Callithrix jacchus: one gene and its partner. The protein of the gene in region 2 interacts with the protein of the main gene of each other region in a biochemical or structural test. Links are inferred from orthologs where the notes say so. Each region holds a gene or a part of one and is shown on either strand. Other genes may lie near its edges.

Region 1 (4,406 bases), on a different chromosome or scaffold from region 2:
ACAAAGTTTTCTGACCAAAATTCATTCAAGGGTCTTCCAATAAACAATCTTTATATATACTGACTGAAGATATCAAATTTCTGTGCCACAAAATAGAATTATATCAGAACTACAGCAAATAAAACTTTTATTATAATACATTTGCTTGAAATTAAGGTGCTATTCATCATGCCCTACATCATGCAGTCTTTACCAAGTGGGCATCATGTCAGGAAACCACACCCTACCAAGATGCTTGGACACTTCCCAGTGAATCTGCTCCAAACTATACTTTTGGTCAGGAATTAATACTTCTTCCATAATAGATAATTGAGATAGGCGGCCACCACACATCTTCACAAACTCAACAAAGGCACTACATGAGACTTCACATTCCCCTAGTCCAATAGCTGACAAATTTTTGCAACGTTCTGCAATGCGAATTAACTCTTCATCAAGTGGCCGTAATCCATTTGCACACACTACTAGTTCAACTAGTCTAGGGCATGTCATTCCCACACGGCCAAGCACATCTTTACTTACTGATCTCCCAAAGTACAAATGGGTGGCAGGTATTTCATAGCGAAAGAATGGGTCAAATTCTTCTTCATATAAAAAAAAATACATCACCAAGTTCACTTTGGGTGAATGTCTGATGAAAGCATCCCAGCTGCTCTTCTGAATAGTATGGAAATGTGTCTGTCCAGGATTCTCACTGACTACATCAATACGCAAATGTTCTAATCGAACATGTTTTTCAGAAGACAAAGCAAGTAACAACTCATCACTTAGTAAGTGGTAGTTCAGGGCTAGTTCCCTTAAGCCATGGCACTGATCAGCCACACAAAGGATACCTTGAAAGAAAGAAAGGAAAAAAACTAATTATTTGCAAGTTTTTGTAAAAGTTTATCTGTTCAAAAATTGGATCAAGTACATGTTCCACAAAGTTTGTCACAGTTCCCTTGCCACAAAACTATATAATTTAAAATTTATTTGTATAGTTGAATTAGGAAGTCACACACATTTTCTAAATCCCATCATCTATTAAAAAAAAATAAAACTTATCGACTCAGACAATAATGAACTCTGTCACTTAAAAAATATACCATCACTAAGGTTAGTGCATTTCAGTAATGCACAGTGCCAGATTTTTAAAAAATTATTACTAACACTAAACTTATAGGTTAAATAATTACATGATCACTGCAATGGAGGCCAAAGGACATTTTTTGAAGTTCAAACCCTAATATTAAATTTCTAAGAAAAAATACCAAGATAACACTAAATAAACATGTCAAAAATAATTACTCAATTCTGTTGACTCTGCCTTGGCCTCCCAAAGTGCTGGGATTACATACTGAGCCACCATGCCCGGCCAATATAATTCTGCCCCAAAGAGGCACCTTATATTATCTGGTAAAAGTAACCCACTTAATCAATTTCTTTCTTATGTTTAGAAACAGGAATAGGAACAAAAAAGCATACATCATATTTTCATCTACTATTTATTGTTGCAAGCATAATATGCCAGGTACTAGAGGTTATCCCACAAATAATTTAAAAAATCTGAAAAAGTATTATTTTTCTAACTTGAAGTGGAGACAGCTAGCTAAAAATAGCAAAGCTGCAATACAAACACAGGCTAAGTGATTCTTATGTCCATGCACTTAAGTACTGCTTAAGAAGTGACAAGACAGAGGCCCACATATAAGCCAGAGCTTTATAACAGTGGGAAAAGATAGGCAATAGAGTTACAAGAGAATCACTGAATCACCGGAATGAGTCACCAAAAGAGGGAGTAATGTCTCAGTATTCAGCAATCACAAAGTTTCTGTTTTCCACAAGGTAGGTATATACTTTGTTTTTGTTTGGAGATGGAGTCTCACTCTGCCGCCCAGGATAAAATACAAAAATACAATGGTGCGATCTTGGCTCACTGCAACAGCCACCTCCCAGGTTTAAGTGATTCTCCTGCCTCAGCCTCCCGAGTAGCTGGGATTACAGGCACACACCGCCATGCCTGGCTATCTTGTATACTTTGAAATACCCCTTGATTACTCAAGGTAACCTAAGCATACCTCTGTTCTTTGCAATCTCAAAAAGCTTAAATATAAAAGAAGAACAAACACATGGGAAATGGTAACCAACAATGCAAATAAAAGAAACTTTGGAGTATCATTTAATAACTACAAAAGCAGTTGTGGCAGGTGTAATTCGCAAAATGGCCTTCAAGATTCCATACCCTAATGCCTAGCATCTGTGAATTCCATAAGATATCATGCCCATGACTGTGATATACAGCACAGTTGACCATAAATGAAAGATTATCTGGGTGGTCCTAGTCTAATCACATAAGCCCCTTTTTAAGCAGTTTTATCTGGTTGACTGGAGAAGAGGAAGTCAGAGATTCAAAATGCAAAGGGGACTCAACATGTTATTGCTGGCTCTAAGCTAGACAGAGCCAAAAAAGAAAAACAGAAGCAGCCTCTAAGAGCAGAGAGACCCCCAAACAACCTCTTGCTGACAGCCAATAAGGAAACTGGATGTCAGTCCTACAATTACAGGGAACTGAATTCAGCCAGTAACTTGAATGAATGTGGAAGTGGTTCTTCTCCAGAACCTCCAGATAAGAAGAGCCCACCTTCCTGACACATTCCTCTCAGCCTTTTAAGACTGTAAGCAGAGAAGCCACTTGAGCCCTACCTACAGCTATAATGTACAGAAGAGTGGAGTGAATAAAATGTTTAAGCTGCTTTGTGTATAGCTATCAGTTATGCAGCAAAAAGAAAACTAATATACAGTTCCAAGTGTTTAAAAACATAATACAGTGACAAAGGTAAAATAAAACCAGAGCATTATTACAACTCAATAAATTAAGAGAAAAACCCCAACTGGAAAAAAGGCAAAGGGGCTGGGCGTGGTGGCTCACACTTGTAACTCTGGCACTTTGGGAAGCCTAGGCGGTTGGATCACCTGATGTAAGGAGTTCAAGACCAGCCTGGCCAATGTGGTGAAACCTCATCTCTATTAAAAATACAAAAATTAGCCAGGTGTGGTGGCAGGTGCTTGTGATTCCAGCTACTTAGGAGACTGAGGCAGGACAAGCCCCTGAACCTCCTCCTGGGAGGTGGAGGTTGCAGTGGGCCAAGATTGTGCCACTGCACTCCAGCCTGGGTGACAGAGTGAGACCCTGTCTCAGCAAAAAAAAGATATTCAACACCTTTAGTCATCAACAAAATATAACTCAGCTGGGCAGGGTGGCTCAAGCCTGTAATCCCAGCACTTTGGGAGGCCGAGGCGGGTGGATCACGAGGTCAAGAGATCAAGACCATCCTGGTCAACATGGTGAAACCCCGTCTCTACTAAAAATACAAAAAATTAGCTGGGCATGGTGGCACATGCCTGTAATCCCAGCTACTCAGGAGGCTGAGGCAGGAGAATTGCCTGAACCCAGGAGGCAGAGGTTGCGGTGAGCCAAGATCGCGCCATTGCACTCCAGCCTGGGTAACCCACCAAAGTGAAACTCCGTCTCAAAAATAAAATAAAATAACTCAAAACTGCAATGAGTTTACACCCCCTAGGATGGCTACAATCAAAAAGACAAGTAAGTGTTAGAAGACACTGCTAGTGGATATGTAAAGTGGTACACTGCAGCTTTGGAAAACAGCCTGGCATTTCCTCAAACAGGCAGTTACTATATGATCACTAGGTATATACCTAAGAGAAATTAAACCATATGTCCACACAAAACTTGTACATAAATGTGTACAGCAACGTTTTTCATAATAGTCAAAAGGTAGATTTCCATTTATATGAAATGTCCAGAATAGGCAAATCTATAGAGACACAAAATAGATTAGTGGTTGCCTAGGGATGGTTGGGATGGAGGTTTTGGGGGCAACAGCTAAGAGGTATGTGATTTCTTTTTAGGATAATAAAAGTGTTCTAAAATTGTGGTGATGTGTGCACTACTTTATCAATACACTAAAAGTAAGTTATACATTTTAAATGAGAATTGTGAATTATATGACAGTAAAGCTGCTACTAAACTGATGATTAGTGGTGGCACTAATCATTGATTAATTTTCTCAGATCAACTCATTTGGGAAAAAAGCAACATGACAAGAAGCACAAAAACATTTGGACTCTGTCCTAGGACATCCACTTCTTAAGAATGTACCCTGAAGAAGAAATTAATACAAGCAAACTGCTATATGTGACTTAAAAAAATTTTTTTAAATCACAGCAAAAAGCAGAAACAAGTGTACAACCTTAGAACTATAATGCAAATGTTGGCTTATCAACAAGGGAACTAAGTAACTAAATGTTCATTAGTTCAAGCTGATAATTAATATTAAGGAAGCAACAGGCACCTAGTGGGACCAACAGTCATACTAACCTAGAGGTCCAGTTACAAACAATTATAA
Region 2 (5,181 bases):
AGCCTTCTTGACCTCCTCCTTGAATATAATTCTTCTGTACCTTGTCTTTTTTCCACTGCAGGATGTATTACATGACAATGAAGCTGCCTGTCACTTGCCTGTTTCCCCCATTAGGTTGAACTCTCAAGAGCAGAAACCAAGCTGTCTCACTCATCATCATTACCCTTATACCTAGTATAAAGCCTAGTACCTAGCAAAATCTCAATCAAAATACATGAAATGACTGAATGGATGACCTAGCTAGATCTCTGGGCTATAACTGGGTTGGCCTCGGAGTTGCTGGGGGAAGAGAAAGGGCAATGTTGGGGAGAAGGGAGGCAAATGTATTTATATGGTATGGTGGGTAAGGACACAGCTCTCGGGTCAGAGAATCCACCGTTTATTAACTTCACAACCAATCATTGTTTCCTCACCTGTAAATGGGAATGGCAGTAGCTACCTCTCAGGCCTGCTGTGAGGAATAAGTGAGTTGATGTAAACAAGCACTGGGAACAGGCTTGACTCCCATGCAGCCCTTAATGAATGGGGGCAATTACCAGCACAGTGTGATTTTTGCATGTATGCGCAATTATGTGTAGGGGTGTGGGGAGGGGAACTGAAGGATGATGTATTTACTAAGCCGTCTGCCCTGACATGACTTTTGTCTCAAAGTTAGGGTGGAGAGGGGCATGAAAATCATGGTGTGCTGCTGAGGAGGAAGGCAGACTGTCCCAGAGCCCTCTGTCCATGAGTTTTTGTGCTTCTTTGTGGGCCTTAGAATATGCTTTTTAAAGGAACTGAGGGAAAAGTGGACTGGCCCCCTGATACTGCCACCCTATGTGGCACCAAAATGAAGATTTCTATCAACCATTTACCCCATGGGAAACAAGGAAGCTTCCTCAGAAAGGCCGACTTTTCCCAATAAGCTGAGCAAAGCAAGATGGGAAATGCACCTTGCTAGACATGAAACCCCACTCTCAGTCTTGGCCTAGAAGGAACCCTAATAAATCTTGCTGGCTTCAGCCAAGAAAACATCGAAGGAAGTCAATGGCATCCAGGGTGGAATGACTTACCACATCCTATGTCTGGACTGAATTGGGAGCTTTCCAGCAAGACACTGGTTTCACAGAATTATTTTCCTTAACACAATTTCCATTCCAAGAGCAAGCTAACTGGCTGCCTTTGCTCCCAACTTCTCTAGAAGCAAGAGCCAGACCAGTCCTGATGTTTCCATTCCCTCAGTCGGAATATCATCTCATTCAGGCTGTGGGGAACCCTCAGAGACAGAATCTCACTGTCTTCTCTGGGGGCTCTACACGCTTACCTTGAACAGCCTTGGGAACACGTCGGCTGGCTGTCCCCGGACTACAAACAGGCGGGAGTTCAGTTTCCTTAAACTTGTGTCCAAATCTTCCAGAGACTGAAGTAGGAACCTGCAGAGTCCACAGAGGCCTTGTTAGTGAGAACATCACAAAGAGGGGCTCTCTTTCCTAACAAAGCAGGGAGAAACTGGTTCACTGTTTATGCCCAATGGGTAGCCTCATGGTCACTAGGGCTGGAGAGGCCTGGGTTCCAGCCCAGGAGTGGATCAGCGCTGTTCTGCTTCAAATCCTGGCCTTGCCACTTACTTTGTGGCTAAAGCTGTGTGACTTTAGGCGATAACCTAACCTCTTTGCCTGTTTTCTCATTGGCAATGTGAAGATAATGTTAGTATCCATCTCATAAAATTGCTAAGAAAAAATAGAATAATGTGTGAAAAAAATTTAGCACTGTGCCTGGCACACAGACATCATGAGATAAATGTGAGCTGTTCCGAGTGTGGTGTTTCTATGTGATCTAAGGCAAGTCACTTACTCCCTCGTAGTCTCTGCGGCTGGATTAAGTATCTGCCCCGCACAAGGTTGTTGTGAGACTCACTTGGGAACGGTCTGAAAAGCCAGTGCAATGCTGTGGTATGGAAGCACTAGGTCCTCTTAGCAGAGGATCAGACTGCCATAGCCAGGAAAATCCTACTTATTCTGGTAGAAAAGACTCCTTGCCTTTCTGCACGCATGCTCCAGGCTATGCATATTTCTGCTGCCACAGCCTCACAGCCTGCAATGCTTCCCCAGTCCCCATAGCTTTATTTGGCAGGTGGCTCACTCTCCAGGCCTCTCCAGGCTCTGGTAATCAGGTTCTCATCTGAAGAGGGAGAAGGTCTTAGAAGGTACTTCTCAATAGATATCCTCATGATTTTGTGGGGGTGGGAGTGGGGAAGACTACAGATAGGCAAGAACTTCAGCAGGAGACCTGGATCGCCAGGGGAAGGGGAAAGAAAATGAACATTTGCTGAGTGCCTTCACTGTTTTATACTTAAATTAACATTATAACCAGATAAACTATTCATGTGGCTCAAAATTCCAGTGACAAAGCAGTACACAATAAAAAGGTCTTCCCCTTCCTCCTTCCCCAGAGGCAAACAAGGTTATTAATGGGATTTCGGTTTTGTCATGCTTTTTAAGTGCATTCTCTCAACTGTTTTAAAGGGAAATAATACCAGCCTTATTTTGTAGATGAGGAAACTGAGACACTGAGAGGGGAATTAATTTGCCTAAGACCATAGCTGTTAAGTGACAAAGCTGGAATTCAGGAACCTGGGGTGGTCACTCTGAAACCCCCATTTTCCTCTCTGTGCCCTTTTTTTTGAGTTGGAGTCTCTTTCTGTCACCCAGGCTGGAGTGTAGTGGTGTGATCTCGGCTCACTGCAACCTCCACATCCCAGGTTCAAGCGATTCTCCTGCCTCAACCTCCCGAGTAGCTGGGGTTACAGGTATGTGCACCACACCCAATCAATTTTTAAAAAAATATTTTTGGGCTGGGCGTGGTGGCTCACGCCTGTAATCCCAGCACTTTGAGAGGCCGAGGCGGGTGGATCACGAGGTCAAGAGATCGAGACCATCCTGGTCAACATGCTGAAACCCCGTCTCTACTATAAATACAAAAATTAGCTGGGCATGGTGGTGCGTGCCTGTAATCCCAGCTACTCAGGAGGCTGAGGCAGGAGAATTGCCTGAACCCAGGAGGCAGAGGTTGCGGTGAGCCGAGATTGCGCCATTGCACTCCAGCCTGGGTAACAAGAGCAAAACTCCGTCTCAAAAAAAAAAAAAAAAAAAAAATTTTGGTAGAGACAGGGTTTGTTGGCTGGGCTGGTCTCGAACTCCTGACCTCAAATGATCCACCCAACTCAGACTTCCAAAGTGCTGGGATTACAGGGGTGAGCCACCATGCCGGGCTCTGTGCCTGATTTCTAAAGATTTCTAGTTGCATGCCAACTCTGCTCCAGGGGCTGAGATTCTGCAGTCCCTCAGGAGTTTGGAATCCCTTTCTCCAACAGCAATCTGACTACAGGTAATCCACTGACATTCTTATGTTCTTCCTCAGGAACCCACAGGTCAGCTGCATATTTCAGACTCCTCTGAGGCACCTGCTATCTACCCCCTGGGTCTCTCCCCATCCCCAGCATTCTTATTCTCAGTCAACAATTGGAATGGCCAGATTTTATCTTGAGCACAATGAAGCCCTGTACCTCCTCTGCAGCACGTCACAGTCACATTCCCTGACTACTGGAGGCTTACAGAGGCAGTGACTGTTCCCAGGCTGCCAACTAGAACCAGCCCCCACTGCTGCCTCTGACGTACACAACTTGACACACTCCCACAGCCAATGCCACAGACCCACATTCTAGCATGGGTGAGCCCTGGGCTCAGCTCAAAGCATCATGTTTGCAAAAGAGCATGCAGAAGACTCTCGGAGGGGTTGGGATGGAAGACTAATAGGCTGAATGCCGCTTTATGCAAACCAAAATCTCCACCTCTGTGAATTTCTGGTTTTGAAAAATTGAAAAAAAGGAACAGGAAACTGCAAGTACATCACTTGTGTTGGCCTCCCCCAAGCCTCACCATTCTTCTAGAAGGAAAAGAAGAGAAATCCATGTAAATGTTCTCTGGCCACCTGAAACCTGGACCCTGCCAGGTAGAATGCCTAGAGATTTTTAAATTCCAGGACACAGGGTCCTCCATCAGCAGCTCTGCATCCTTGCCATGCACTTTGGGGGCCTTTTCCCTTACAGTCCACCAGGCTGCATAGGACTTTGATTTGAAGCTATAAATAAGGTTGAAATGCACATGAAATCTGGGTTCCAGAACATGTAGCAATCTGCCTTCTATAGAACTTTATTTTTAGATCTCATTTACTAAAAGAGAGATTCCTTGCAGCATCTCTAAAGCACAGCTAATCCTATGAGAGCCCTTTTCTTCTTTCACAAGGGATGTTTATAGCAGGAAGCAGAAATGAGAGGCAGATAGAAGGCCTGCCTTTTATTTAGTTGCTGAACCCAGCAACTAAATAAAAATAATGATAACAATGGGAACGACTAACATTTAATAAACATTTACAATGACAGGCACCATTCTACTTGTTTCACATACATTATCTCATTTATTCTCAAACAGCCCAATCCAGTAGGTACTATTATCATTTCCATTTTGCAGATGAAGGAACTGAGGCATACAGAGATTAGGAACTTGCCCAACATCATACACCTAATAAGTGGCCAGAATTCAAACCCAGGCAATCTGTCAGGCTTAACATGTTCGTTTTCAGCCAGCCACTGCCTCTCAACAGAGCACCGAGGCTGTGCTGCCGTTGGCTCAGCCATCAGGGAGCACCACCGGCCAACTCAAAGGCTAACAACACCTCTGCTGCCAGATTTTTCCTCCTCTGAGTGCGGTCTGACAATCAGCAGCACTGGCTGTGAAACACCGAGGAGTTGGTTGAAATGCAGAATCTCAGGCTCCAACCCAGACCTCCAAAATTAGAATCTGTATTTTAGCAAGATTCCCTGGCGATTCACTTGCACATTAAAGTTTCACAGGCACTGCTCTAGAAAACTTAACTTTACTTCTAGCCTCTGTTTACAAGTTGCCTTTCTTTGCTTCTAATTTGTTTCTACTAAATTTTTTCTCTTGGAAAAGAAATATTTCTATCTCCTCTTTGGGCCGCTAGAAATGCTCTGCTTCTTCCAACTTCCCTCTGGAAGGGAGGGCTCAGAACAGTGACCATACGGGATGCAATAGGTGGAGATGTGGGGAGGGTCCCCAGTATCCCCAGACTCCAGGCAGCCAGAGAATGCAGGGAATGGGAAGCCACCACTAGGGTACCACC

What was found.
Region 1: the proteins of CRY2 (region 2) and FBXL3 form a complex in vitro, tested with the Homo sapiens proteins (2 studies listed by BioGRID, with this or other methods). The link is inferred for Callithrix jacchus from reciprocal best matches to the Homo sapiens genes CRY2 and FBXL3.

What each region holds. Positions count from the first base shown.
Region 1 is NC_133502.1:38,296,086-38,300,491, reverse strand, and holds part of FBXL3 (F-box/LRR-repeat protein 3), read right to left. Parts: intron 834-4,406; coding exon 190-833; 3' UTR 1-189. UniProt on the Homo sapiens protein: Substrate-recognition component of the SCF(FBXL3) E3 ubiquitin ligase complex involved in circadian rhythm function. Plays a key role in the maintenance of both the speed and the robustness of the circadian clock oscillation.
Region 2 is NC_133511.1:110,876,655-110,881,835, reverse strand, and holds part of CRY2 (cryptochrome-2), read right to left. Parts: intron 1,413-5,181; coding exon 1,304-1,412; intron 1-1,303. UniProt on the Homo sapiens protein: Transcriptional repressor which forms a core component of the circadian clock.